4 linked regions of the Oreochromis niloticus genome follow. The protein of the gene in region 3 binds, or shares a complex with, the protein of the main gene of each other region. Links are inferred from orthologs where the notes say so. Each region holds a gene or a part of one and is shown on either strand. Other genes may lie near its edges. The genes, in order: timm17b, timm21, timm23a and timm17a.

What was found.
Region 1: timm23a (region 3) and timm17b share a complex: the UniProt entries of both Homo sapiens proteins name them as parts of the TIM23 complex. The link is inferred for Oreochromis niloticus from reciprocal best matches to the Homo sapiens genes TIMM23 and TIMM17B.
Region 2: timm23a (region 3) and timm21 share a complex: the UniProt entries of both Homo sapiens proteins name them as parts of the TIM23 complex. The link is inferred for Oreochromis niloticus from reciprocal best matches to the Homo sapiens genes TIMM23 and TIMM21.
Region 4: timm23a (region 3) and timm17a share a complex: the UniProt entries of both Homo sapiens proteins name them as parts of the TIM23 complex. The link is inferred for Oreochromis niloticus from reciprocal best matches to the Homo sapiens genes TIMM23 and TIMM17A.

What each region holds. Positions count from the first base shown.
Region 1 is NC_031984.2:10,675,428-10,683,021, forward strand, and holds the start of timm17b (mitochondrial import inner membrane translocase subunit Tim17-B), read right to left. Parts: upstream 3,001-7,594; 5' UTR 2,941-3,000; coding exon 2,915-2,940; intron 1,696-2,914; coding exon 1,596-1,695; intron 1,512-1,595; coding exon 1,448-1,511; intron 1,317-1,447; coding exon 1,188-1,316; intron 1,001-1,187; coding exon 890-1,000; intron 215-889; coding exon 129-214; 3' UTR 1-128. Other genes in the region: pqbp1 (polyglutamine-binding protein 1), read left to right, coding at 4,260-4,326, 4,424-4,535, 4,799-4,899, 5,079-5,297, 5,383-5,440, 6,417-6,567; gpkow (G-patch domain and KOW motifs-containing protein), read right to left, coding at 7,035-7,166, 7,260-7,345. UniProt on the Homo sapiens protein: Essential component of the TIM23 complex, a complex that mediates the translocation of transit peptide-containing proteins across the mitochondrial inner membrane.
Region 2 is NC_031974.2:20,962,516-20,970,089, reverse strand, and holds the start of timm21 (mitochondrial import inner membrane translocase subunit Tim21), read right to left. Parts: upstream 3,009-7,574; 5' UTR 2,815-3,008; coding exon 2,526-2,814; intron 2,115-2,525; coding exon 2,052-2,114; intron 1,967-2,051; coding exon 1,869-1,966; intron 1,744-1,868; coding exon 1,670-1,743; intron 1,567-1,669; coding exon 1,461-1,566; intron 304-1,460; coding exon 211-303; 3' UTR 1-210. UniProt on the Homo sapiens protein: Participates in the translocation of transit peptide-containing proteins across the mitochondrial inner membrane.
Region 3 is NC_031973.2:8,934,314-8,941,584, reverse strand, and holds the start of timm23a (mitochondrial import inner membrane translocase subunit Tim23), read right to left. Parts: upstream 3,007-7,271; 5' UTR 2,623-3,006; coding exon 2,517-2,622; intron 2,398-2,516; coding exon 2,339-2,397; intron 2,244-2,338; coding exon 2,150-2,243; intron 1,189-2,149; coding exon 1,104-1,188; intron 1,014-1,103; coding exon 955-1,013; intron 765-954; coding exon 654-764; intron 1-653. UniProt on the Homo sapiens protein: Essential component of the TIM23 complex, a complex that mediates the translocation of transit peptide-containing proteins across the mitochondrial inner membrane.
Region 4 is NC_031970.2:6,728,654-6,735,856, reverse strand, and holds the start of timm17a (mitochondrial import inner membrane translocase subunit Tim17-A), read right to left. Parts: upstream 3,006-7,203; 5' UTR 2,886-3,005; coding exon 2,860-2,885; intron 1,738-2,859; exon of another isoform or gene 1,611-1,737; coding exon of another isoform or gene 1,600-1,610; intron 871-1,599; coding exon 771-870; intron 486-770; coding exon 422-485; intron 66-421; coding exon 1-65. UniProt on the Homo sapiens protein: Essential component of the TIM23 complex, a complex that mediates the translocation of transit peptide-containing proteins across the mitochondrial inner membrane.

The sequences.
Region 1 (7,594 bases), on a different chromosome or scaffold from region 3:
GGTATGTATTAGCATCCAGTAGGGACCAGTATCTCCACCTCTTGGTCATCCTGGTAGATGCTGTTCATGTGCTGGCATTCCTATTATCCTTTCAGTTGTCCACAGCTGGCTTCAGTCCTGAACCTTCTCTACTGAAACTGCCCCCTTTGCCCCTGATGTTGATGATCTCCATCCTTTGGCGGTAACTGACTAGGGTCGTCTGCAAAGGGAATTGCTGGAGAAATCAAGGAAGAAGACACAACAAAGTCAGTTTTTCATGCTTCACTGGCATGTAATCAAGATATAATCTATGTTTCCCTCAGGAACATTTATATGAATATTACTACTGTCTAGGTCTGCTGTGCTTTCAGGCTTTTTGGTTTGGTAGCCTTCCCTCGGCTCATCTCATCCAAAATAAGATATGTCTCAGCAGGTTATCTAACTTGAGCCGTGCTGGAGGAAACCTGATGCTCATACATTTGACTGGTTATTCACAGTAACACTAAAAAAACTATTTTAATAGTCTCACATTCTTCAGCATTTTTTATAAGTTGTTATATCATTAACATTGTGAGAAATTGTGTTCTTGGGAAAAATTAATCAAACAGGAAACACAAATTAAACTGCACAAGAACCTTGAGAGAGTGGACGATTTTCCTCAGGTTCTTTAAAACATTTTGATAGAAACAAAAAATGCTACGAGTGTGGTGAGGGTGAGTAAAAATGGGACCAGTGAGATGAAAAATGTTGCCCTATGCCGAAGTCCAGCCATAACTGAGGAGTGGACGCCAGTACAGGGGTATAAAACCACTCACACATTTAATCATGTGACATTTTGCTAAACTACTGATAAACCATTGGTTCTGTGCAGTTTAAATATCATTTCTGAAACATAATTAACTTCACTCACGGTTCTGAAACTGCTGCGCTGTGTATCTGGTTAGGAGAATCCCAAAACCCTCAATGAGAGCGAGCAAAATCCCCCCCATCATTGCAGAGCCCATCATTGTTAGAGGTCCACCTGAAGAAAAATGCAATATTCAGCGAGTCACACTAATTATCCCAATGTAGAAACCCAATTGTAAAAAAAATTGGAATTTTGTTTACATTTTACACAGCGTGCCAACTTTTTCAGAATTGGGGCTGTATTTACTGACACAGAGAGACACAGTGGTGTCTTGTTTCTTTTGAGCTAATGAGCTCCTTACTGCGTGCTGCTAGGATGGCTCCAGTCAGCGCACCACTGGTTATAGAGTTCCAAGGATCCTCTTTCCCTCTCAGACGAACCAAACCACAGTCGATTGTGGAAAAGAGCCCTCCCCATACAGCAAAGCTACCTGCAACATAAGAAGTAACCAGACTTCAGCTACTTGTATGAAGCTAACTGTACCTAAACAATTTAATCTACACAAAAAATGGTATATTACTAACTAACTGCCATGTGTAACAAAAAACAGGAACTCCTTACCTCCAATCTGTGGAGCTCTAACTCTCACTGCTTTTGCACTCCCTTTCAGCCGGTGTCCGACACCCTGAAATATTAGAGCTCAGTTGAATTCTGCCTTTAACAACCTGACAAGCCAGAGAACAAACAAAAACCTGTGTTTTGAACTCACAGCAGGGGCATTTCGAAAGCCCTTGACCGCCTGGAACACCCCTCCTCCAATTGCACCCATTGTGAAAGCACCTCCACAGTCATCCACTATCCTCCAGGGGCTGGGTTAAGAGAGAAATGGATATTTATGTGACAGGAAAACTGACAATGGGGATATATCTGACAACTAACATCCAGTACATATACAAAATGCAGAAGTTATCTATCGGGGTCTGGATGACGCCGAAGACAATATGGGCACAGTTCTGGCCGAGAAATGTATATTACCCAAGGATGAAGAACTAGCTCCTTAAATATAACTAAATACTCACCTCTGAGTTATGTTTGTGTTAGAAAACATATCAAACATCATAAATGAATATGTCAAACAGCAGTGAAAGAACTAATGAGGTGGGGAGAAGGGAAGTGACAATTTAGTATTCTCCTGCCATAGCCCAGGTTTGATATGTTGTCCATTCAGAGATGCTATACTGCACACTTCAGTTGTAAGGAGTGGTTATTTGAGTTACTGCTGCCTTCAGTTCAAAGCAGTCTGACCACTCTCATCTGATCTCTGACATCAACAAGGCTTTTTCAACCATATAACTGTTGCTCACTGGATATTTTCTCTTTTTCACGCTGTTCTCTATAAAACCCTAGAAATTATTTTGTGGGGAAAAGGCTGTAGTTAAACATTTTCGAAAATATTGAAAAGATCGGCCATTCTGGCAAAAACAATCATGTGATGTTCAAAATCAATAAAAATCAAATGTTTGAACTTCTCCAGCCTGAACTTCAGCAATGCGTCATGACCATGTCCATATGTCTAAATGCACTAAGTTGTTGCCAAGTGACAGAATGTAGGTTTACATTAATAAGTAGGTGGACGGGTATGCCTAATGAAGTGGCTGATATCTGGATTCTTTATCCCGTTCCTTTGAACTCTGTCATTAAAGTTTGACTTGTAGGGGATCAACCTTGACTGGAGGTGTGTCTTAACTTGATAAATAAATAAATAAAGCTTCATGTACTGCCTGTTTGGAACCATATTTTGAGATTAAAATACCCACTATTTTTAATTTCTATCCTAACTCCAGCTGTCACTTAAAAACAGCGACATTTTCAGATAAAGGTGACTCTACCAGCTTATTGTGTGTGCAGAGGGCGCCTCCATATAACAGCTTTATCTTTTTTATATGCCTTAAATAAGCAGGCCGCAACACCCACAGAGCCTTTCTGCTCACTCTCACATCAAAACTGAGTATGAAATTAAAAAGTCAACACTTGACTCCAACTTAATTAGTTCTAAAATAAAAACAAACGCTTAAATTCTAATCTTACCAGGGCTCTCGGGCATACTCCTCCATGTCTGTTTACGTCGTCGTCTTCGTCAAGAGGACGTGATTACGTCATCATTAAGCGCGCCGTGTATGCTGTTTTGGAAAGAGGTATCGTTAGCTTGACGATAAAAAAGGGCCACCTTTTTTTTAAAAAAAGGTAAGAATTTAATTATTTCTTATTGTTCAGTCTTTTGAAGTAAAGGTTAACATTTGTGTTTGTGTGGTGTGGATGCTTTTTGGAGACGCATAGTTTGGTTTATTGCGTTATTCTTACATCTGCAGCCACGGATGCACCGCAAGCGTGTTAGTTTCTTGTTAAAGGAAACATTTCGTATTGTACATGGTACAAATTATTACAAAGAAAACATATATATATATATATGTATGTGTATATATGTAAATACATATATGGACATACATATAAGACAAGGAGCTAGTAAAGTTTTACCTGGAATTCACGTAGGATGGCCATATAACCTAAGAAACTGATTTATTTATTAGGATTGTGAAGTTACTTTAAGTTTTATGAGCAGAGGATTACTTTAAATGATGACAGGACACATAACAGTTCAGGAGTTTAGTCATTCTAAGACCTACCAGGATGCATGCTTTAAACTACAATTCATGGATATCATTGTGATATCGACATCAAAACAGCCAGCTGTAATGTATTGCAGGAAATGATGGTCTACAGACGTGACAAGTCTGCTGCAAAAATGTGGTTCTGGGCAGTGTTAAAGCTGCTGTTGATAGAATTATTACAGTAAAGGCATAATCTCCGCTTATCAGAAAACAAGAAATGTCCTCAGAGAAAATGGACAAAACAAAATAATGATAATAATAAGAAGAAGATGAAGAATAAAAAACAGGTAAATATGGGAACTGTTTCAAAACCAAGTGTTCAGTAAAGTGTGAGATGAATAGTGGACCAAAAATATTAAACTTAATGATGATTAAAAAAAAACAAAATTAACAGACTTGCAATTTTGTGTCTAATATATAAAATAACCCATTAAAGTAATGAAACTGTTACAAAATGTGCTTATATTAAAGATCACTAAACTATATAATGGTGGTAATCATGTGCATTTTACTTTATGGCCACATGTGACTCAGTGGTTTGTGTGTAAGTGATGAGTTTCTATATGTCCTAATTAATCAAAGGGTACATATTATTGAAAGTAAATGATATGTATTATATTATCTGATTTATGACCAATCTAAGACTATTTTAATACTGTGTAATAATGTGTTATGAGCATTTGTTCTGCAACTGTTATTTTGGTACCCCAAGTGAATTTCAGCCGTAATATGAACAGTGTTTCACATGGACTCCGTCTTTCAGGATGCCTTTACCTCCAGCACTGCTGGCCCGATTGGCCAAGAGAGGGATTGTTAAACCAACAGAGCAAGGTAGTATAACAGATTTCATATTTGGGTCTCTGTCCTTCATGGATTTCTCCTAATGTTTTGTGCTGTTTAAAAACCTTTTCCCCTTCAATTAATCCAGGGGCAGATGAGGAGATTATTGCTGAAGATTATGATGACAACAATGTAGATTATGAAGCCACCAGAGTGGAGAATCTACCACCAAACTGGTACAAAGTGTTTGACTCTGCTTGGTATGTACACTTAATATACTATAATTTAATATAATAAGAATTTTATACTTTAATTCAAAATGATTATTATAAACTTCACAATCAGAATGCGCTAATTACTTTTTCTTTCTTGTTTCTCATTTTATTCTTGAGAAGTCAAATTCTCCTTGAACATTATAACTACTGTCATGGAGAGCTAAAGTGTATTTTTAAACTGTTAAGTAAGTTTTATTTAATTTTGTGGTTACAATATTAATCACTAATGTTTTATTTTCCTTACACAGTGGTCTACCTTATTACTGGAATGTCGAGACAGATATGGTTGCCTGGTTATCCCCAAATGACCCAACTGCAGTAATAACAAAACCTGCCAAGAAAATAAGAGGTATGCTTTTATTCAGCCTCTATAATGTAATGTTTTCAAGAGGCACTAATGATCACAATTTCAGTCCTCTTACAGTAGACGTGTGTTACTTTGCATGTACAATCTCAGAATACAGTTTGCTTTTGACAGATTTCAGCCATGGCTAATCTTGTGATCCTTGCCTTAACTTGTGTTTTTAGTAGAAGGAGGAGATGAAAAAGGCGAGAAGCAAGTTGAGAAACCAGACAGAGACAGGGACAGAGAACGACACAGAGACCGGGATCGGGAAAGGGATCGAGATCGGGAAAGGGACAGGGAAAGGGACCGGGACAGAGACAGAGAGCGTGATGATGGGAGGGACAGAGACAGAAGAAAGCAGAGAAGAGATGAGGCAGCACCATACAGTCGAAGCAAAAAAGGTAATGTTTACATCTGATTCATTACATGTTTACACATCGGCGCCTTTCACATGATTAAATATTGAACACCTAATATTTTTTACAGGTAGAAAAGATGACGAGATGGACCCCATGGATCCAAGTGCTTACTCTGATGCTCCAAGGTACAGTACAGATGGTCACCTTGATATAAGCTATATACGGGTCGTTCTCTGGTACTCCGATTTTGCCAGAATCATTGTGTTGCACTTGTTGAAAAAATAGTTATGAGAGACAGATCAAATCAATTCCCATCATACATTTTTATCTTAGACGAAAGAACTAAACCCTCACACAGCACAGCTACAGTGTTCGAGTGTGTCCCCTCAAAATTCAAAATGGTAATCAGCAAAGTTGATATCCCTGGTTTACGGAGCTCACATAAATCTACATTTCATGCAAGGCACAATACCTCAACAAGAGGCAGATTTTATTGCAGTAGCATAATGTTCATAGTGAACTGGATTAGGTTTCCTCCCATTTTCATAAAAGATGCTCTGCTAAAGAGGAAAATATATACAGGATTGTAGCACATTTCCTTAATATTTGACCAAATTTGACCAGCTTTTATCACAACTCACTTATTCCCTTAAGCATAAAATAAAGACTTGTAGAAAGGCCTCATATCCTTATGAGCTCTCAGCCCTCAGAGTGGGAACGTGTGAACACTGGGAAGGGGCCATACACTTTATTTTTTTAAAGAGCATTTTGGCTTGGCATGTCAGAGAAAGCACAGGTATAAAAACAACTTAAAGAATGGCTCCATACTACTTCAGCACGCTAGTTCCATACCCCTTGTATGTGCAGTCAGTCTTATTGTTGCTGTAAATGCAACATACTGTAGCCATCATTAACTAAATTTACCCCATTTGCAGTTTTCCTGCCACCATGAGCCAAATTCTCTGCTGTGAAAATGTCTATTAAAAAAATCTACACCTCCAGGGTTTCTGTTAAAAATATTCCTAAAACAAAGCTGAGATTGTCATTGCAATTTGATCAAGGTTGTTTTCTCAGGCTTGACAAAACCCCTTCTCAGCCACAGAAGACATTGTAGTGCTGATTACAAATGCAGTTAAAACACAAACGTATTCATTTTTGCAGGGGGTCGTGGTCAAGTGGGCTGCCCAAACGCAATGAAGCAAAAACGGGTGCAGACACCACAGCAGCGGGGCCTCTCTTCCAGCAGCGTCCGTACCCGAGTCCAGGAGCTGTTCTTCGGGCTAACGCAGCAAACCAACTACCCAAGGAGTAAAAGCAGATACCATGAAGACAGCATCTTAAAACCCACAACTCTACAGTTGGTCTTCATTATGCTCACATGCTAAACATCATAGTTTGACAGGCTTTTGTTTCATTGTGAAATGTGTACATGTCAGAAATGAAAGGCTGAACTTTTTGGACAGCTACTCTATTCATACTCCTGCCGTGTAGAGCATTTGTAAATATGTTTTTATATGACCCAAAGGTTCACTTCTCATTGTTACTAGACCTATCAGTGAACATGATAATAAACTTAAGACTACTGTGAAAATGATCTGTTGCAGCTTTTTCTCAATTGTTGCATTGCCATATGTACAAGGAAAAAAAAATCTTGACAAGTTTTTATTACAAAATTGAAATCTTTTAAAGTCCATAATACTTGAATAATGAAAAAAAATAAAACAGCTGGGATGAAGTGGATGGAAAAAGGACAGTGAATATTACAGTAAACATCCGAAATCAGTGGTCTGCTGCTGCCCCAACATAGTGACAAATGGAGTCATAGTCTAATGTGAACACTTTATCCTCGTATCTGTCGAGCTGGACCATCGCTCTGCACTTGTTCTTGTCCCGCTGAAGAATACGGCCAACCTGAATCAGGTGGGAAAATAGTGATCAGTAACAGCTAATCAGATTTAAACAAATACATATATATATGTAAAGCAGTGAGGTTACTTTGCTCACCTTTCCCTTGTGCTCACCCAGTACCACCATTACAGAATCATGTTCACTTTTTGGGACAATAGTTTCCAGCATGTCCTGCTTCACATCTGCCACAAGAAAAGAAAAAAGAAACGCTGGGTCATTCATTGAAGAAATTCTACAGTAATACCAACTAGGCAGCACTCAGGAATAGAGCCAGCAGATTCTGACATTTATGTTTGCTAATAACCAAAAAGGAAAAAGAATCAAATTAATCCCCAATCTGGGAAGTCTGGTTGTCAGATTTAAGTCAGCAGACCGACCTCTCAGGACAACAACCAATGCTTCCACTATAGCCAGCAGATATCTGTGGTAAG
Region 2 (7,574 bases), on a different chromosome or scaffold from region 3:
ATCTAGTCAAAAAACAAACATTTATAAATTAGTAGCATGGGGCCACGTGATCCTTTGATCTCTGCTTTGCAAGGCTCTACACCAAAGCTGTAATTGTTTAACAGCCTCTGACAGTATGTGAAGGCAAATTCTCCAGCTTTTCTGTCCAGCAGCACATCTGACACACACTCCTCATGCTTCCATAACGCTGAATCACACGTCTTATGGTCCTTATCTGTTATCTTCCACAATAATGGTCCGTCTTGGGTAGACGTCCATGTCCACAAATATATAACGAAACTCATATTTTCCAGTTTCAGGATTCTGTAAAATCAACAACAAGAAGACTGGTTGATTAAACACATATAAAAACATCAGCGATGTGATGGCCATCACATATGAAACTAGGTGAAGATTTAGGAATACACACAGTGCCACTTACTGGGGATTTATGCTTCAGTGTGAAATCTACCCATCGAAGCCGTTTTGTAACTGCAAAATCCTCTGAAACTATGACATAACCTGACATGCACATGAATCTAACTACATGTCACAGCCCGCAACCACTGTGATTGGTCTGTCCATTACAGCCGATTTCTTCTGTGCATTTTTGGCTACTTTTTTTGCAACGGCTTTTCAATTTAACTGTGAGAGAATAACAATCACTGCCTCAATATGGGGAATAATAATTACAACATCAACATAAATTTACCCGTAATACACCCGCACAAGCATAAACGCTGGCAACAACGAGCCTACGATAGGTAGGTTACATTGTAGGCCCCACAAAAGCATCTTTTCCACTAGGACCTACTCGGCTTATCTCAATTTGAAAATTACTCAATTTTCTATTAGTTGGTAGTACTTGTTACTAGGTACTTTTTGAGTACCTACTAGTCTGGATTTCCAAGCGAGCTGAGTCAAGCTGAAAATATGACATCAATAGACCGCAAGCCACTGATTGAGCAGCGAGTGACATCACTGGGTGAGTCATGAGAGCAACTCCTTCATAAGAACACAAACCAACAGCGTGGTCCAATGATGAGATCCAGAGTTTTAGCGTCAGTTTGGTAGCAGGTAAACAATTGGCTTGATGCCCTCCTGTGAAGGAGGTGTGTGGAGGGGTGGTGCAGTGGGCTCGAGGGCAGTGGCAGGGTGGCTGGCTAATTATGCTCTCCCTATTTAGTGATGCCAAAACCTGGAGTGATGAGTGCAGTGCTGGTTCACATCTCCATTTTTTGCATTGTGTTTGTGTCACATACAAATAACGCCATGGGACTTCCAGGTCGCCTTGCTACAGTGACCCCACCTACATCGAGGTGGTACTCAAATATGATTGAAAATGACCGAAACTGAATAGAGCAGAGTCGAGCTGAGTAGGTGCTAGTGAAAAGACACAAAACATTCACCGCAGAAGTGTCAATCAGTGCTTGTGCATGTATGTATTTCATAAGCTGGCTTTTGAATGGCAGAATACCAACCTCTTTAGACTCTGTATGCACTGTCCCCTTCACTCCCGGCTCCGAGCCCTCAATGTAAAACTTAAGTCTCATATGCTTCATTCCATCCTTCAGGTACTCGATATGACTGAGGAGAAGAGACAAAGACTGCCATTATAGATGTTAAGGCTACCTTAAATAAAAGTGGGCTTTGTTGCTGAACTTGTTTGACAAATTAACAAAACACCAACCTGACTTGCTGCCTCCTTCCTCGACGGGTGGTCTCCCCGTAACATTTGATTGGCTCACCAAATGCACCAATCACCTACATTTTCAATAAACAAGAAACTTTTTATATGACCTCATAAGATCATCAAGAGGACCTTAAATACCGAACTGTAACATTGTCAGCCTGGCCTCATGTTTGACAGTCACTAATATCGCTCGTACTTCTGGGTGTGACTTGACTTTATCGAAGGCTCTTCCATACACTTTATTTGGACTCGCGGATGAAAACAGCTCTTGGAACACCACATACAGCAGCCCACCTGAAAACACACACAGACGTCATTTCAAACAGGATGATGAATTGCCTGGGTTATGACTGCAGCTTTTAAATTCCACTGTATTCACCTGTCACTCCAAGCCCGATGAGTACCACGATCAGGTAGGTGAAGTCCCTGCCAGCTTCTTTCACTGGAAGGCATTCAGTGTTGAGGGTTATTATGCAACAGCTGTGCATAGTTTTCATTTAAATGAGCAAAGTTAGAGTCTCACTAATTAAGGCAAGTGTTTGTTCAGTTATTCAGTAAATAAACTCCTGGGCCATTTTAAGATATTTCCTCTGCTGCTGGTGATAATCAGAGCGATTAATTTCCAGATATAAGCTATAAATACAATAATCGTGTATTTTTTAGTCCCAAAACTGCTGCTGCAGTGGGATAAATCACTGCTTGGTTAAATATACTATATTTTCTCCACAGTGCCTGCGAACAAAGCCTAATGGTATGCTTTGAAAATAGCAGGCTATCATGAAACTACGCTGCTAATATCTGAGTACATATATTAGCACGACTTAAATCCTTTTTATTTCCTTGCCTTGCATACCTTTTTGTGCAGCTGAAGGCTTTGGACTCCCACTCTGGTACTTGGACACTGACCTGTCTCGGTCCTCGGGGCTGCTTTTATTTCTGGCTGTAAAGTCGAGACAAATACCCCGCCGTCTGTGTGTTTGTATTAAGCAGCTTAGCACAGGCGAATTAGCCTCTAGTCCACTGTGTAAGGCCAGTCTTGATAATGTTGACACTCTCCTGTGCGTCTGGATAAGCACTCTGACCTGTGGTGCTCTGTGCTGCAGATTTCGGTGCAGGACCTTCAAAACCTGAATATAAGCCATGATTTGATTTGAGCAAGCCCCTTCCTAATATCGCAAAACTACACTAACCAGCCTACTGTGTGGTTTAAGTAAACAAAACGGACTTAGTATACATGAATTCACAGCTCACAGCACTAAACTACTCCAAAACACTGGGCAACAGGACTGGGTCAAGTCAGTCGCCGGATTTGTGCTTCACCGGCGCACAATATTGCCGTCACTCACCGTTAAAGCGACAGAGCAGCAGTGAAACGTCACTCGCTCGTCATCATCGTCTACAGCAAAAACGTCTTCAACAAAATAAAATAAAAAGTCCGAAATCGGCTGAATAGTCAGGTGATAAAAAAAAATCTTTAAGAAAAAATTTACAGTTACAACTAGAGAATGCATTTCCTGAAGAAATTGCAGTATAAGAAATATTTGGGAACCTTGTTAAATTTAACTGACATACACCAAATCATTCACCTATAAACCAAAGTGCTGAACTGTTGAAAGCTGAAGTTCACACAGACGGCGAAGTTTCAAAGTTGGAAAGTAACTGAACATCTTCAAAATGTACATTAGAAAAAAAAAACAACTGAGTAATGACCAAAGAAAATTTAGAGTCAGAAAAAATCTGAATTAATATTGAAATCTCATATTCTTTAAATCACTTTAAGAGTGGAATTATGTTTTTTAAAGGTCTAAACATAAGAATCTCAAATTAAAAAAAAAAATCTGCAAAACATCTGCTGTGTGTGTGTCTGTGTGTGAGTTTCAGCAAGTGAGTGAATTACCATGTAAGAGGGACATCAAATGAGCAGGTAAATTAGTTTTTAATAGGTTTTTTTTAGACCCTTTTAGACGTTTTTTTAGACGTTTTGCTACAGTCTTCACACAATGGGAAGTGTGCTAATTATGAATGTATTTGTCAGTTTTGGAGGTAAGTTGAATTTATGTGCCACAGACACTGACAAAATCTACTGCAATTTACTTCTGACTCCATGCGCTCTGACGTAATTTCATACTTCAGTTAATGGTTGTCATGTCCAAATGGTCCAAATAGACTCTGGAGCATTAGAAGAAGCTTTAGAGTAATTTTTCAGAAATTAGAAGTACAATACAAAAGGTCAAAACCTCTACTGGGAAATTTGATTGGAACAGGTTTTGATTTTATTCACATATTACACAGATGTGTTGCTGGCTGAACAGGCTCGGCAAGAGCAATGCCGTGCCTGGCCTATGTTCAAGTATCATTAAAGTTAGAGCTTGTAAAATCTCACCATTAGATGTCAGTAGATTGCAGATTCCAGTCAAGTGAATTCACTTTTCTTATCCCTCCTAATTCAAGTCTATAAACCAAGCTACAGTAGCTCTGCTAACTCTGGTAATGCTGACTGTCATTCAGTATATCTTTGTTTAATCTCTTTATTTGCTTTTTGGACAAGTGAAGTTACAAAAATCTCTTGAATCATATTTACTTTGGTGGACAGAAAATAACCTTTGTAGACTTTTTGGGGTAACTTGTCAAAATGTAGCACTTTAGTATTGATTTTTCAACAATGAATTTTCTGCTTTTAGCTGTATTTAGCAACCGAAAATATTATGGCAACACTGAGAAGACAAATCATTAACATTGTGTGGTCAGGAGGTGTAGGTGTTGCTGTCTTAGTTCTCTCTCTGTAGCAGAACTTGAAAAATCTGAGTCAGTTGTCCTGACCAGTTCCTGTCTGAGGTTCAGACCATCAAGAACGTAACTATAATATTGAACCTGAAGTATGATCTTCCTACCCACCAGGGAACCGCTGTGGGTTCAACTCCTCCTGCTGAACTCATAGAGCAGCAAACCACCAGTCCAGAGACAGACCCTAATGTAGCATCACTTTCATCACTCACTCCTGAACTCCTGTGAACCATAACAAAGGTGGCCTCTCTAAACATCAGTAACTAAGAAAACATGGCAGTAGGTATCCTAGTAATTAATGACCTCATTATTTAGGGTATTATTATTATTATTATTATTATTATTATTGTTGTTGTTGTGCTTTACACAGAGGTCTCTCCCTCTGGACTGTTTAAAGGGCCAGTTTACATCCTGTCAGCCTTCAAATTTATGCATTAGTCCCCTCCACCATTGTTTTGCTGCTCATGTTCACATCTACAGTAAGAAAATGGAGATAAGCAGGCAAATAATATAAAAAGACGATGCTGCAGGGTGACTTTCTGTCTTTTCTGATTCACCAGCTTGTATGCATCTTTTCACAGGAGTGACTTAAGGACACCTGTAGCCTACACTTATCTACTTATATGATAAATAAAGTTTAGTGTAATGTAGATAAAGTGTTTTCCTTTAACTTGCATAAAGTATTTCCATGGAGACCGTTCTAGAATTCTGCATTAAATAAATAAAATAAAAATAAATCGGACTTTAATTTAATTTAATCAGACTTTAAAAATAGCTCATCTGTACAAGAGAAACCATTGAGTTCAGAGTTTTTTCTTTCTGCATTTCACATTACACAATTTACGCAATTTGGATGGTATTTGACAGTTTTTGTTCCCGACTGTGATTCAACAACAACATTTCAATTGAAGCAAGTAGAGGAATCTACAAACCCATCAGGGTATGTGACAGTTTTTTTTCCTTCTGCATTTTAGCAGTTTAAAGAATTTGATGTAGTTTTAAAAGCTGACAGACTGAGAATAAACTTAAGTAACAATCAGTAACTTCTTATTTCTTTGACAGGTGCTGTTCATGTCGAACAACACCTGTCAAACACACATTTACGACATGGCTGTGAAGATCTGCTGGCATCTTCTGGGCTACAGGGCTCAGGTAAGACTGAGATCCATCCAAACCAAAGCTGATGTAAAATATCAGGTGATTTCTCAGGACCTGAGAGTGGTGATGTTTAAATGTCTCCTTTTATTTTTAGATTGCAATGATGATGGAGTTCCTCAGACTTCAGCAGGAAAGCAAAATCCCATCACACATCACTGCTGAAGACCTAAGAGATTTTTTGGTGGAGAAGAGCAAACAGACACTCAGAGAGCAGTGAGTAACTGTGATACTGACCATCCACCTCAAACATGACAGTCTGTTTGTGATGAAGTGTAAATGCTGAGAGAAAACCTCTGTTTATTTTCTTTTGAAGGCTTTGGGAGTTTGAATTGGGGGATTTTGGAGACAAAGAAGCCAAACCTCTTCTGAAACTAGTGAGACTAGAAAACTCACAAGACTTGTAGTAACTTGGAGGTTTATTTATTTTGTTCACATAACATCTAAACAAAACTGCACTGTAAATGTGTTTTCTGTTTCAGGTGTGGGCAGTAAATGCCATTAATAAAATTTTCCAGAACCACATTTCCAGAGTCCATACCTCCTAAATTTCAGTGAGTTACATCTGACAATTATTAACAGTCCAGCTACAGTTTCTGTGATGCTTTACACATGTTTAAAAGATCATTCTTATAAAATTTTTCTACAGAACAACTAAACTCCTCAGCATGGTGAGAAATTACGTTGAGATTCTTAAAGAGAAGCAGCAGGTACGGCATAGCTCCAAACTGCTCACTGCAAGAGGTGATAGAGGTAGTTCCCCGCATCTTACAGGGCTTCTGGGAGCTTCCTCCTCGCCCCCTCTTGAACATGGCCTCCCAGAGTTTGATCATACTCTCCACCAGTGTCACAAAGGCCACTTTGGATCGTGTCACTAAAACTCTTACAGCGATGGAAAGCAGGCCACCGTGTCACCATTGAAAGGGAAATAAACAGGTTTTCCAATGGTGTAAGATTTATTGCCCCAAATCATTGTTACAACAAAGAAATTTTCAACCAAAAACTAATTTGCTACTTTTTTACATAACACTGTTCTCTTCAGGACTTTCAGATATGAAAAGTATATTTACGTGGATTCACCTGTGTTTGCACCATTTTGTTATGAGCTGTTGCATTTGTGGACGCCAAAGAGAAAACTTTCATAATAATGGCTGGATACTCAGCTGACTATACCTGTCTTCCGCATGTAGCACAAGCGTTTACTAGTATAAAGCTGTAGAATTTCAATTTACAAAGCCAGTTACCAAAACTGTTCATGCTTCCATGAACCATTGAGCAAGGCATATTGCTTGATAGATGCTATTAGGAATGCTTTCAAAAGGCATCAACAGCACAAATGCAGTGGATATCATTCACAGAACAATGTTTTCAAAAAGGATGTAAACATTTTTATTTCTGCTGTTATTATGTTGTTATTATTATGATTGTAGTAATTTGACATTTTAATATGTTTTAAATGAGACAAAATTAAATGTTCACACTTCAGATGTTTTGGTAAATCCAATTTTTTATTTGATTGGTCACTCGTAACTTTTTATGGGTAAGATGTTATAATAACCTGGTTCACTCAGAGACGCCGTCTCCTAAAAATCTTCTTTAATTGAGTTCAATTCAATTCAACAGTATTTACATACAAATGAATTGAACTGAACTGAATTCAAGAAAAAAACCCAACAATCCCCTATGAGCAAGCACATGGCGACAGTGGGGAGGAAAAACTACCTTTAAAAAGGTTCAGGGAGGGGCGGCCATCTGCCACGACCGGTTGGGGGGGGTTGGAGCCGATAAAAAAACAAATTACTTGAAGTAACTGTTAATATTTAGTTGTATATTACTGTGATTTTATAGGAGACGGAGTTGAAGTCAATTAAGTGAATAGTCTCAAAAACCATTTGCGCTTCTTTTTCATTTTTGGTTTTTCTTCTGGCATGTTGTCATCTCAGGCCTCTGGATTTTCTTCTTT
Region 3 (7,271 bases):
CTATCATTTTAATAGGATTTTAAAAGTCTGCTAACTGACAACTTAAAACAGCCACTGGCCCTTTTATTTAGTACACCTGCTCACCTGCTTGTTAACGCAACTGTCTAATCTGCCAGCTGAATGGCAACAGTCACCAGATCTCAATCCAACAGACCACCTAAGTGGTGAGTCATCATGGAAGCGCAGCTGACAAATGCACAGCAACTTTGTGATGCTATCATGTCAGTGTGGACCAAAATCTCCAGCACGTTGCTGAATCGATGCCATGAACAATTAAGGCAACAATTAAGGCAGCTTGCCAGTACAGACTTGGGGTCCAAGTCTGTACTGGCAAGGCTTAACTAAAAAACTGAGCATTTCCATACATGTTTGTGTTTACTTTGTTTATGTTGTCACCCATTTTGTAAACAAGAACCAAAGAAATTTTCAGTCTTTATCAAACTGCAGAGCAAAATAAATGACAAATAACTGATGAACACCAACATTGGTAAATGCCATTTTGCTTGCTGACAGCCTGATATTTGCTAAAACTAATGTTTGGATCATTTATTGGTAAAAACTAATATTTAAAAGGTTAAAAACACACAGAGGTACATTAATATACATTAATGCCAGATATAAAGTAGAAGCAGAAAAAAGGAAAAGACACCAACCGCCAGATTTAAAGAGCATCCCCGTTAATGTCCCAGCAGCCACTGTGTTGATGTCGTCTTCTGCTCCTCTGGCTTTCTCTATCACAACACCAAAAGCACTATACAGCAAGGCTGCAGTGACATAAAGAAAAACAAAATAATTAAATTATGATTATATACTGAATTAGAAAACTAAAAATCCTGTAAATACATCCATCCATTTAAATCAGTAACACTAAGATCTTCCAACCATGGGATTCATAGATATTCTTGTTACAGTAACACCTCTACATCATTTTTTTAAGTAACAATAAAGCTTTACCAATAGAGCCCAGAGTGTTGGCCCATGAAGCGCCCTGCCTTGTCACCATGTTGAGAATCCTGGGGAGGGAAGATAAACATTTGAACAACGTGCAACCCAAATCCAAGCGTAAAACCATTCGATAAACTGAATTCTGTAACCAAACTTACTGTACGTTACGTGGTTTGGACCATGCCATGTCTCTGGTCTCCTTCAAACCCATTCTAAGGCCATTTAATGCCCCAAATGTCGCCCCTGCATTTCAAACAAGGATGCAGAAAAGGTCAACAAAGGGTCAGTCAAAGGATTATTTCACACTATTCCACCTGCATCATGCTTTGGTTTTAATAAATAACATTGACAGATTTATATGCCATTAACTGTGTGTGTGTTCTTGTTGCATTTGTGTTTCTATACCCACACTTTATGTCTGTCTCTTGTGTTTTTGGTTTTTGTTTTTTTTAAACATAGCTGAACATAAGGTTTGGAAGATGACCAAAACTGTCACCCTTATGACAGGAAATTGGTTAGCACGTTCAGGAGCAACCTAGGAACCACCAAGGCTCAAGCCTACCATGAACTGGAAACCAAAACACCAGCCTCACTGTCCATAAGTCAAATTCAATGTAAAAGCCAGTTTTACATTACCATGGGCTGAGAAAGTGCCAACCATGAAAGATCCCCTGCTCCAAAAACCTTCAAGCTCGACTTAAATTTGCAGTTACCCATATGAACATATCCGTGAATGGAACATGAATATGTTCCAAAGTTACAGACTCTGCTTAAAAGCCAGGTCCATGCGGGAAACAACAAATAAACTATCATTTCTGCCAAGAAGTGTCATCAAATGTCCAGCCACAGTTATGCCAGAAGCTTATTGACGGAAACCAAAAGCATCTGATCAAGGTGGAACTTGCTAACCAAATAATAGTTGGTATATTATATTTGAGCCTCTATGTGTAATTTAGACTCTGTCAAAAATAAATTCAATCTTGTTTTTCATTAAAGATGTATGCAGTGCAATCATTCCACCTTTATGTAATCTTCTGACCACAGCTGTCGCTCTCAACAGGAAAAAATGTAGATGAATTGGACAGACAAAACAAGGACATCAACATACTTCTACTTAGTCTGTACTATACAGTACTTTAATTTGCACATGCTTCCAAGTCATATTCAGCACTAAACCCGTTTTGTCAGTGTACCAGTTTCTTACCAGTCATGCAGGAGCCTCCGATGGTAAAGAAAGCCAATTCAAATCTTCCTCTTGTCTTATTGGCCCCTGTAGGTAAGATGAATTCATCTGTGTCCTAAAACACAAGATTCAAATACTCATGCCTGGAAAAAAAAAAAATCCAAAACATTCTCACTCACAGCAAAGAAAAGGAGACAGACTCAGCTTTACCTGAACCAGATAACGTGGGTCCACGTTGAGATAAGGGGACAAAGGGCTCATTCCAGTCACTGTAATGTAAACGATCAATTATCCACTGAGTTGATTTTTCAGATACTGAATGACAGTACAGCAACACCTAAGTAATGTAATAGTAACTAGCATCACAGTTAGATTGCATGACACTTACGTGGGACACCTGCAAGCTCTGTGTTGGAGTATTGAGGTGCACCCCCTCCAAAAAGACTCCCCAGGCCTGCTTTAACTCCCCCCGATCCTTGTGAGTTGTTATCCATGCTTGGATAAATGTTCCGAGAGTCAAACAGGAGGCTGAAGGGGAGTTGCTACAGTAGCCGACTGGCTAACGTTAGCAAGATATGTCGAAACCCTCAAGCTATTAGACAAACGTATATCAGACGAGCTCCTGAATTCACTACTGCCAGAAGGAAACGTCAACACAGGTCGTATTTGTTGGTCTTGCTGGATTTTTAGAGCGAAAATTACGTCTTTTTGCTTCGATATTACCAATCTCGCGTTATCGTCATGCCTCTGACCTCCAGCAGCACGCTCCGCCGTAAAGCGATGACCGGTGCTGCACTGTCGTTACGTCAACAAAACCCACAGTAACTTGTGAAAAATGAGAGAAAACATCGGCTCAGACTTGTTTTTAACACCAAAAGTTCGTACTATTGCTTATCTATTAGTGATAAGTCGACTAAAAAATCTTTCTGATATCGTTAATAAAACCACGGTTTTACGACAGTTCAACGGATCTGGGATCTGTTGACTTAACTAAAGGGCAAACTTGAGGACCAGGCAGAGCGTAAAAAAACTGACTGCAGGGTAACTGTGGACACGAGATCCATTTAACCCTTTATAGGGTATGGAAATTCAGAATTTCAACCCTATAGAGATCATATAATATAATAATATATGTAATATTCTGATGAATCAGAATATTACATGTACCAGTGACAGGCTTTATGATACTTTGTGAAACTACTGTAAGGTAGTAGTATCCAATAAGACAATGTGGTTATTATGCTATATATTTACACACAAACCTGCATATCACCAGTCACAGCCACCTGCTTCATGGTACTTGGTGAAGCTGTTGTAATCTCAAGTAAGATAATTTGGCAAATTATTTATACATTTCTTCAAAGATTTAAGTTAATGTAAGTTCATTCACACAGTTTTGTATAAACCCAAATATGTTATGTTATTCTCTTGCATAGTACTGAATGGGTAAGCTTCCATACAAGAGCCAAGTAGACCACTGCAAAAAGAAAAAAGAAAAAAAAGATCTACCAAAAACAAAATGATAAAATATTGACTTGATTTGTAATGAAATCAAAATCAAAATAAATCACAAATATTGAATTACTATATCGTTTTTAGCAGTAATAAGACTAACAGGGAAAATAAACACCAATGTATGCAATTTAAGTATAATAAAAACTGCTAAAAGGTAAAAAAACAAAACAAAACAAAAACAAAAACAAAGCAAAAAAACCCATAAAATTACTCATATTTAATTATTATAGCCTGAAAATGTCTGTAATACGAAATAAGTACGGTTCACAGATCCATCCAGTGTATGTCAAAAAATGTTCTTACCATTACTTGCACTAGTTTCAGGTGAACAGGGCCTGTGATCAAATATGGTGCTACCTTTTTTATGCCACAAAAAATAGAACAACTTACCGCTGTTAGTTTCAATGTTATGACCGCGGGTGTGAGAGTAGGTAGGGGTAGAAAAACCCAATTTCCTGAAAGAACGCAGAGGTGTGAAATGCCCCAGGTCACTGTTGATTGATTGCATGCAATAATGTCATTATCTGTCACATAGCCTGATCTTTGCTGATTGGCTGGGATAAATCCATATTGTTCTGCAGCCTCACGATTCCTTGCATAATAAAAGCAGATATAGAATGTTTTTAAGATAGAAATTGCATTGGTGGTACAAGAATATATTCCATGTAAGTAAAAGTAATTATATGAAAATGTCGATAATGGTAAAACATAATAAAAAAGAGAAAGAGGAACAATCTGTTTTAAAATTCTGCTTCTCCTGGTAATAATGATTATACAGTATAAACTGGTAAATTTACAATATTGTTCTTGCACTTGAAAACAAGTTTGACCTCATGATTTTTCTATTGTCAGCTTCAAAAATACTTTAATTACAAATATACCAACAATTATTTTATGTACAAAATACTCACTACACACTTCATTTTATTTAATGGGTATAAAAACTGAAACGTCTTAAAAATCCAATCAGTAGGCCTCATTGTCTGAGACTCACATCCATTGAGTGGACTGATAACATCCAGATGAAGCAGATGAATTTCAGATGTTTGACATATGGTGCAATAAAACAAATTAGTACAACAGATAACCCCATGATTATTAATCATTATTTAATTCTCATAGATCTCTGTGGCGTTACTGCAACTTTTACTTATTTTATTTCTAATCTAATCCTTCTATCAGAAGTTTGTGAAATTGTGAAAAAAAAAAAATCCCCATCAAGACTCATTGTCGTACCTTTCTTGGAACTAGTCATTCAGTCAGATAACGAATTCAGCTCTCCTGCTGACGCATGCTGTGGGTTTTTTATTTTCCTGTCTTTTATCTCCTTACCTGTTCGGTTTATTGCAAATATTTCTCGAGTAAGAGGTGCAATTCCTCACATTCGACACAGGGTGGCAGCAGAGAGCCCACCGTATAGATGAAACCAGTTGCAGAGGGTCAAACCTGCTGGTTCTGGTCCTTCTCGGTCCTCGCTCTAATTAGGCTTGATTTAATTAACTGATTAAGTTAAATTTGTTCCCAGTGGTGGCACATACAAGTTAAATTTGCATGACGCCATTTGCATTTACTTGAAGCAGGGAAGCAGAGCCGGGGAGGTAAAACAACTTCCACGTGACACCTGTCACACCTTTCAGGCCAGCTGGGTGCCCTACCTGTGATGCAACACATGACGTGCACGTTCAGTGCAGCTCGGACCAGGCCATCTGCTGCTGTCCAAAGGGATGGAGGCACTGAAGGAATGTAGTGTGTTGAATTTCACGAATAACAGAGCATCTTATTTGGATTCTGCCATTGTATGTGTGTATTCAGAGGGGGCCAAGTGGAGCGATGAAGTTTGCCATTGTCGCCCAGTGTGGGTGTTTTCAGACTCTCTGGCATGATCTGTGAGTTAGTGTTCTCTGTGTTACTGCCCAGTGTGCCCACTGTCTTTCCCACAATGCCCCATTCAGCCCTGGGCCCCTCTCTCTCTCCTCCCCCCCCCTCTCTCTCTCTCAGATTGAGCTGCTACCCATTTTGTGCCTCTGGCTACTCATCATCATAATCATCATTCTCATCACCGTTGGGCTACAAACCAAATTTTCAGTTGTGGGATAAAATAGCGGTGATGTCATCTTTGTTGTCTTTTTCAGTAAGTCTTGTTTTCGTCTCCTTCCTCTCCTCTCTTCTTACTCTCCCTCTCTCTCTTTCTTTCTGTCTCTCTGAGCTCCCAAACACAAAAGACAGAGAGGCCACGACAGGACCCCAGTGTATGCTGGTTGCCAAGGATACAAGGAGACAGTGTTGGGTCTTTAAACTGCCTCAGAAGGGTGTGTGGAGTTAGGGGGAGTTGGCCTTATTTACATGGGAAGAGGACAAGAGAGAAAGAGAGAGAGGGATTTGAAATACAACTTTTAAGCAGCTTGTAGGAGTCCTCTGAATTTCAGCTAAAATCATTCCACCGCTCAGTCATCAAATATTTACCAAGCAGAGGAAATCAGGGGCTGTTCATTATGTGGAGAATGCTGTGCATACATAGCAATGTAAATCAACCTGTCTTTCCTTCTCACTTTTTGCTCATTTTCTCCCACACACACATGCACACACTAACACACTTTGATTGTAAGCTCTGGGAGCCCTGGGCCCCAGTGTTGGCAATGGGGAGCGCTGACTGCAGAATACATTACCAGATGCTTAAAGAGTGTTTCATACCAGAGAACAAGAATGAAAAAAAAGCACAAAAACTCAAGTGAAAACAGGAAAAATGAAGACAAGGGTACACACCCATCCAGACATGCACGCACCCCCACCCATCTCTATCCACACACACACATTCTCTCTTCTCTTTTTTCTCTCTTGCTATGTCCACTCAGTGCTTCCACTCTGCTTCTTCCTGTCCAGAGGATTGTCAGCAGTGGTCACATTATGTCCCCTCTCTCTCTCTGTGATCAGTGGGGTTGCCTCCACAGTGCAGGCTCAACTCCAAGCCTGAAGTTCAATATCAACCCCCCCCCCCCCGACTCCACAATGAAAGCAGGAAGGGCAGGGAGAGGGCGAATGAGCCACCCACGGGTTCATTCACCACAGAAAAAACCCTCATGTGATTCTTTTTTTTTTGCTTTTTTTTTTTTGCGTGTGAGAAACTTTAAATCTGCAGTTTTAAAAAGAACTTTTTAAACTACAGGTGTCGACAGGCTCGAATTTCTCTGTTTAAATGAAAACAAGCAATAGCTACCATGACACACAGCATGTGGGTTATTAGCTGTGGTTTTCTGGGGCTTCAGGGACGGACCGTGATCATGTGGAATATTTACTCTGCAGATGTTTAAGGGCGAGCTTGCACAATCAATTTCCCTTCAATTCCCCAGCCATCTCGTCCTCCAAACCTGAAACCCACGCCCCCCCCCCCCCCCACTTTTATTTTTTTTCTGTTATACATGTGCATGCCTGTGAGAAACCATGGTGAGCTGGGTGTTTTCTTCTCTCTTATTACACACATCAATGTGTGCAATGTCCACTTAAATAACAGAGGAAGACAGAGAGCCAGAACACAGGAAGAAGAAAAAAAGGAGAAGTGGGAAAAACATGTTTTGGCCCTTTTCCCTGCTTTTTGTCTTTAAGTATCAGCTTGGGTTTTTTCCCCACCCCT
Region 4 (7,203 bases), on a different chromosome or scaffold from region 3:
CCCTCGCACTTTTACTAAACCGCAGTCAATCATGGAGAAGAGGCCTCCCCATACTGCGAAGCTACCTGCAACACGCCAAAGAAAAGATTTGCATCAGCTGAAGTTATCAGTGAAGATACGCTTGTCACTTTGTTAAGCAATCACCCACGTCACATATTTACACAAGTGACTTCTACCACTAACACACTTCAACAGCAAATAAAGTATTAAAAATTCTGTACACAGATTATGCCTTCGGGCTCCAATAGCAGCTTATTTAATTAAAGGATAATTACTTTAATATACGGAGCTGAAATATTTCCCAAGATTAACTTGTCACCATCGGAACTGCAGACGATGTACAACATGCTGCTGACTACAGCCCATGCTCTTTACAAAGGAAGAGAAATGACCTTTGAAACAGTTCGGCAATTGTTCTTACCCCCGAGCTGTGGGGCTCTGGTCTTGATAGCAGTTAAGCTACCCCTCATTCTGTGGCTCATCCCCTACATAAAAAAGAGAGACAAAAAACATGCATCAGTGGAAATTCACTGTCAGGTCAGGATTTCTGAGACCAAAGATTTAGAATTTTCAGATTATGATTGATAACATAAGTTGAAAAGAAAATGGTGCGTCTTCGAAATTCAGGTTGGGTTAAAAAGAAAATTTCCTGTTTACAGGGACAGAAACACTGCTTCATCATCAAGTGTTTTTGAGTGTGACACCGACCCCAAGGACAGTACCTTGAATGTCAGCTTTGACTGAGACCAGAAAACAGTCCTTGAACTTACCGAGGGTGCATTTCTGAAGCCTTTCACTGCCTGAAATATTCCTCCTCCAATAGCTCCCATGGTGAAAGCTCCCCCACAGTCATCCACAATCCTCCAGGGGCTAAAAGCAGAACACAGACATTTTAGTTTGCTTAAGTTAATAATGTCATGACATTTGAGATCTCTCATTGCATGTTCATAACAATCTCTTAATGTTCCCTGTAAGTCTAAATTAATCCAAAGGTAAAGGAAGAAGAACTAGTTTATTACTGGTAATATGACAATAAGATATAGGTCATCTGAATATCAACATTCGTAAAATCTAACTATACACACACAGACTTGGCCTTTGAGAGGGAGACCGATGTAACAGTGAAGCTGTGAAGAGTAGTCAGATGAGTTTAAATACATCCAAAAGCAACCAACAGTGCACAAGAGAAGTGAAGAAGAGATTCGGCAGGGCGGTGGTGATGGAGACTAGTGTCAGGGCTGATTTATGACAGCAAGAGTGAAAGGGAAGGTTTACAAAAGAATAGTAGTGAGACCTGCCGAGATGTATGATGTGCAGACAGTGGCACTAACAAAAAGACAGGAGGCTGAGATGAAGATGTTAAGATTGGCAGTGAACTAAGAGACAATGGACAGGATTAGAAATGAGTATTATAGCGAAAGCTCAGTTTAAACAGAAACTAAGTTTGAGAGGCAAGGCTGAGATGGTCTGAACATGTGCTGTGGACGGTTAGTGTGTACATACATACATACATTATATATGTGTACACACACACACACACATTTGACCAAAAAAAAAAAAAAAAAAAAAAAAAAAAAAAAAGAGATGCTGAATACAGACCTGCCAGACATGAGCAAAAGCGGAAGCCCTCAGAGGGGCAACGTAGTGGAGGAGGGCATGCAGAGGGTTGGTGTGACAGAAAACGATGCTAGGGATAGGGCGAGATGGAGGCAGACGAAGAAAAACACAGACACGCACACAAACACACAGGGTCACTCTCTGTGTCCTATTTTAATGACAACCTCTGACCCAGTGTAAAACATGAAGCATTACGTTTCAACACAAGGTCTGAGCAGTGAGGATTATACTTCACATGACCGCATCTCAAATTTAAACAAACACACTGCACGTTTACTTTTCACACACGACTTTATTAGAACAGGTTTACATAGTTAGATGGTTGCATTCTATGTAATATGACTTCTGGTCAAAATCAGGAAAATGTAATCGTTTATGTATGTAAAACTGGATTCTCCATTTTAGTCATAGCCATTCGTTTATGTTAAACAGATGCATTACATCTTAAATCACGAAAAGAACATTTTGCAGTGATACTGAAGGACAGTAACCTTGTGTCCCGTGTTTTTGACCATTAGTATCCGATCTTAAATTGTTATTCAAAGCTGGCCAAAATAATAAAAACATAAGTGGGAGAAAAACAGCGAACCAGGCCAACCTTTAACTTTTAAAAAGTTTATTTAGTTCACGGTTGTTATAAATTAAACCTAAACCAAAATAAGCATACACGAGGGCAGCCACCGGGAAAAAGTGTATGTAATTGTAAAAACATTTATTTTAAATCCTCAGTGACGTTGTTAAAAGTTCATAAACTATTTGAACAGGACATGTCTCAAGCTAGCTGGCGTCATAAGGCTGCAGTCTAGATAGCGCACAAGTAGCTAATCCAGCTAGCTTACTTGTGCGCCAAAGCAAAATAATACTAAAACAACTACTCCAACTTTTCCCGAATGGCTACCAGTATGCGTTTACAATAGATGTTATATGCCTTTTTTAAGCACCGGTTTGTGGGGTCAGTAAATTTAAAGCAATGACATGTGGCAATAAAACCGACAAGGTCACAACGTGACTTAGCCGTCCCGACGCAGTGCTCGCTCAAACTACCTTCACTTGTGTATGCGAAGTTAGCATTTCTGCTAACGACAGCTAGCCGGCCGGTTTCGAGGTGTTTCGGTCGTGTCACGTGATATAAAATAAAAAACATTAAACACAACTAACATGGCATGTATTCAAAACGCAGCCCACTGCAGTACACGCTGAAACAGTGCGGAAAACGGGATTAATTTTAATTTTAGGACTCACCATGGCTCTCTGGCATACTCCTCCATTTTGTTCTTTGCTGTTCCGCCTGACGTAACGATTATCAAACACCTGACGTAACGACACTATAGAGACAACGTCATGTCTTAAAGGAACAGAGCATGCAGGGGTGAAGGACGAGCTTCAGGCTGCCGTCCTGAGAGTTTATTAAAGTTATTACAGCCTATTTCGTAAAGCTATCCATAGAAATACCAAAAAATCTTGTAAAGAATGGTGTAAAGTAAAAAAGCAGAACTGTTCAATCACTATAGACTTATATTATACTTGAGTATTTTTAATTCGATGCTGTTTTCTCTTTTTTAACTGATATTGAAGCATCTAGATATTTATTTTGTCTGTTTATTTTGTTTTTATTTTGTCTATATCTTTCTTTCTATTCTATTCTGAATCAGCTTTTACTTAAGTAAAATTTGCTTAAGCCGCTTCAGATCAACTCTGCTGAGAATCATTAAAGCGATGACTGGGACTTCCAGTCAATCAATCAGTCAATTAAAACAGATTATTATGGATTTTAAAATCTTATTTGGTTTTCATATGTACCTATTTTCAGTGATATCAACTTTGATAGCAGGAAATGAACTAGGCATATAATTCTTTTCTTTCTCTCTTTTTTGCTATATTTTTCAAGTAACCTGTATTTGACAACAGTATAATAAAACTCAAAATTCAGTTTTTTTGTGTGCCACGCCAATGTTTTTAGTCCCCCCTGCCCCCATTGGCCAGCTTTTTAATTATCAAATAAGGGATACTCTGGCTTACCAGAAGCAAAGTGCACAACCAACTGGGTATAGTGTAAATATGCACTGTATGTGACATTGCAGGTAACGGTCTATATACGTGACATTTAAAGTGGAATAAGGGACAAACTAATTTTGCTTATTATACAGGATGTCCCGACTAAAACGGGACAGATGGCAACCCTACCCCCATATGGTCACCCCTATGAAAAAAATCTGTAGACGCCCCTGAAAACAGGTTCCTCAAAGGCAGGCAGATGTAACTAAAAACATAGCTTTTATTAAAGGTTGTTGCTGAAATCCAGAAATGCAAAAGTCAATGAGAAGACGCAAACTGAATCTAACAGCAGACAGGGAAAACATACAACATGACCATGGAATTCAAAATGCAAAGTTCAATGGAGTCAGGACTAGTTATACACATGGAAGGTAATCAGGGGAATCAGAAACATGAGTGTAATGAGACACTGTCCAACCAAATCAAGAAACAGGAAGTTAAACTAATTGCAAGAGACGAGATACAAAAGACTACCAAAATAAAAGAGGAATGAATAACTGAAATACTGAGTCAACCTAAGAACGCACTGAAGGGACTAAATAACTCAGTGGATACAGACTGTGATACTTAAACATAACAGGAACAGAAAGTGCAGCATAACAACACAAAACCTACACAATTAGAAACAATAAACCAGAGCACATAAAAATAAAAATAAACCCCACCTGGCTGCTGCCATCATTAATGGTGTAATAATTCACAGTTTGTTGTGAACAATTCAGTGGGGTATGAATCTTATTATAGATGTATTAAGCAATCCTTTGTAAGCAACACAAAATAAAGCTGTAAAATAATAAAAGGCAAAGATGGCACATTGTACTTGAGATGTTTGCTGATTCACATCGATAAGCAACATGAAGCAAATTAAAGGACAGCCAGACATGTATATGAGAGTTTTGACATTTCTATCAACAGAAGCAACGTCACACTGATCGCATAAAGCCTTATTTACAGCAACAAAGCTTAAAAAACAGGTAGAAAAACAATAGAACACCCCGTAATAAAATCTTTTTTTTTTTACATGTTCTGCAACACAAATAGAAATCTTCATAGCAAAATAACCACACTCTGCTGTGCTCCTAGTGTTTTCTTAGTAATAGCAATGCAATGTACTTAGAGGCCTTCTGATGGCACTGAAAACCAGTAATCTCAACATTTCATTCCTTCTCCTCTTTTTCTTCCTTCTGAGACTATTGGTCAGAGTAGCAGCTACAGCTAAAAGACAGAAGGCTGGCTCGCTGCCCATTATTAGGAACGAGAAAGGAATGACTTACAGAGCAAGCCCTCATTGAGAAATGACCAAATATAGGCATTTTGTGGATGCAGAGACTGAGGCAAGGCTGCAGAGAGATAAACTGGCCTGCTGCTGCTGCTCTCTTTTTTCTCTGGATGATGGCTACCTTTCCAGCTGGTGGGTGGACACTAGACAGCTCCCAATGTTTCCACGTAGCTTTAAACACATTATGTAAAGAGCAACAGATAGAAGAAAAGTTCTTCGTGGTCCACTGCAGAAGCACAGATATACATGCTACGAAAACATCCGCTAGTTGATATAATGTTTTTTGTCTGGTAAAGGTTCTGCCTTGTAGTTTTTTTTAAATTAATCCATCAAGAAATGCAGATACATAATAAATTTAAAAAATCTGAATCCATGGTTATTTCAGTAGTTAAACTATGAGACACGAGAGGCCTCCTGCTTTCCTGGAAAGGTATTTTTTAGCATATGGACACCGCAAGTTTCCACCTTACCCTAAGTAAGTTATTGGACCCCAGCTAGCCACAAAAATCATAGTGATGTCGTAAAATCCTGATGTGAGTACAAGCCATTGCATTTTTGAATGTATATACAGCTGTGGTCAGAAGCTTCCATACACTCATCATAGGCATGAATGTGATGACCATTTGGGGCTCATAAGGATTTCTTCGAGCTGCTCCTTTTCCAGGGTGGAAGCATCGTACAGCATACGTCTTTATTTACTTTAAAATGCAAGAATTGTGTTTGAATTTATTTGTAATTTTTTCTAATCCACACAGGGTCAAAATTATACACACAGGCCAAAAACAGACACAGACTAAAACCTTTTAATAAGTGCTGCTGAAGGTTTTAAAGTGTCTTTTAACTCGACAAGGCCGAGGTCTATTTGCTTCTTGCCAATGATCATGAGAGATTACGATTGGTAGTTCCTCTTTGTCTCCATAAAAAGCATCTGTTTGACAGCAACCACTGAATTCCCCAATACTCTGAATAATGGGAAAGTCCAACGAACTCAATGAAGTTCAGGAGAATTGTAGATTTATACAAGTTGGGAACGTTTCATGGAACCATTTCTAAACATGCCATCACCATTGACTGAGAGGGTCCCTGATCCAAAATCTACACCTTAAACCACAACTGAAATTTGCTGCTGACCCCATGGACAAACCAAATGCCTTCTGGAGAAAAGTTTTATGGTCAGACAAGACAAAGATTGAACTATTGTGGTACACTGACGAGAGTTATATTTTAAAGAGTAGAGGTGACCCTTTCAAACCAAAGACATCTGTACCAACTGTGAAGCATGGTGGCAGTGGTACTGGTACATTGCACAAAGTGGATGGACAAATGAAGAAGGAGGACTATCTCCAATTTCCTGAATTTCACCTCAAATTAGGAGCCAAAAAGCTGAAACTTGGACAAAGTAGGTTCTTTTAACAAGGCAATACTTCTAAACAGACAGAAAAACAAATAAAAGGCCAAACCTCAATCCTTTTGAAAATTGTGGGCAATGTTTAAAAGGCAGGTCTGTGCCAGGAAACCAACCAATTTAAATAAAATCTACCAATTCTACCAGTATTAGTCAAATATCCAGCTGGAAGCTTGCTGATGACTACCAAATGTGTTAAGGGACATTTAACCAAGTATTATTGAGGTATAAGTATATATTTGAGGCTCTATGTATAATTTTGACCCCGTGCAGACTTTGGAAAAATTAAAACTTGTGTACCCAGTTCTTATTTTTCAAAGAAATTAAAGCTGTGTGCTGTACAATCATTGCAATATGGATAAAGAACAGTTCGAAGAAATCATTAAAAGCCTGAAACATGCCCATGATCAGTGATGTAAACGTCTGAGCACATCTATATTCATACAAATATAATCATATGCACATATATATAGAATTAATGACATTATCATATACATAATTTGATTTATTGTAGCTAAAAATTATAATATAATAACAGATTATTAAAACATTCCAATCACTTCTATCAGGCAGGTATCATTAAACTTGCAAACATAGCAGAATCTTTTATTGAAAACATACAGGCTCTGTAAGAAAAACGTGTAATAATGTATGTGCTTCATTACAACACTCGGGTTTTTGCTAATCACATTAAATTTCCTTTAGAACTGATATTCACTTTTAAATAGCACATTAACCAACAGTAGTGTTGATTTAATGGTGTTTCTGACATTTTGATGTAAAACCCAGGCTAGAATGATTCTGCACAAAACACAACATCAGACGCTGAAACTTATCTTCCTGCACT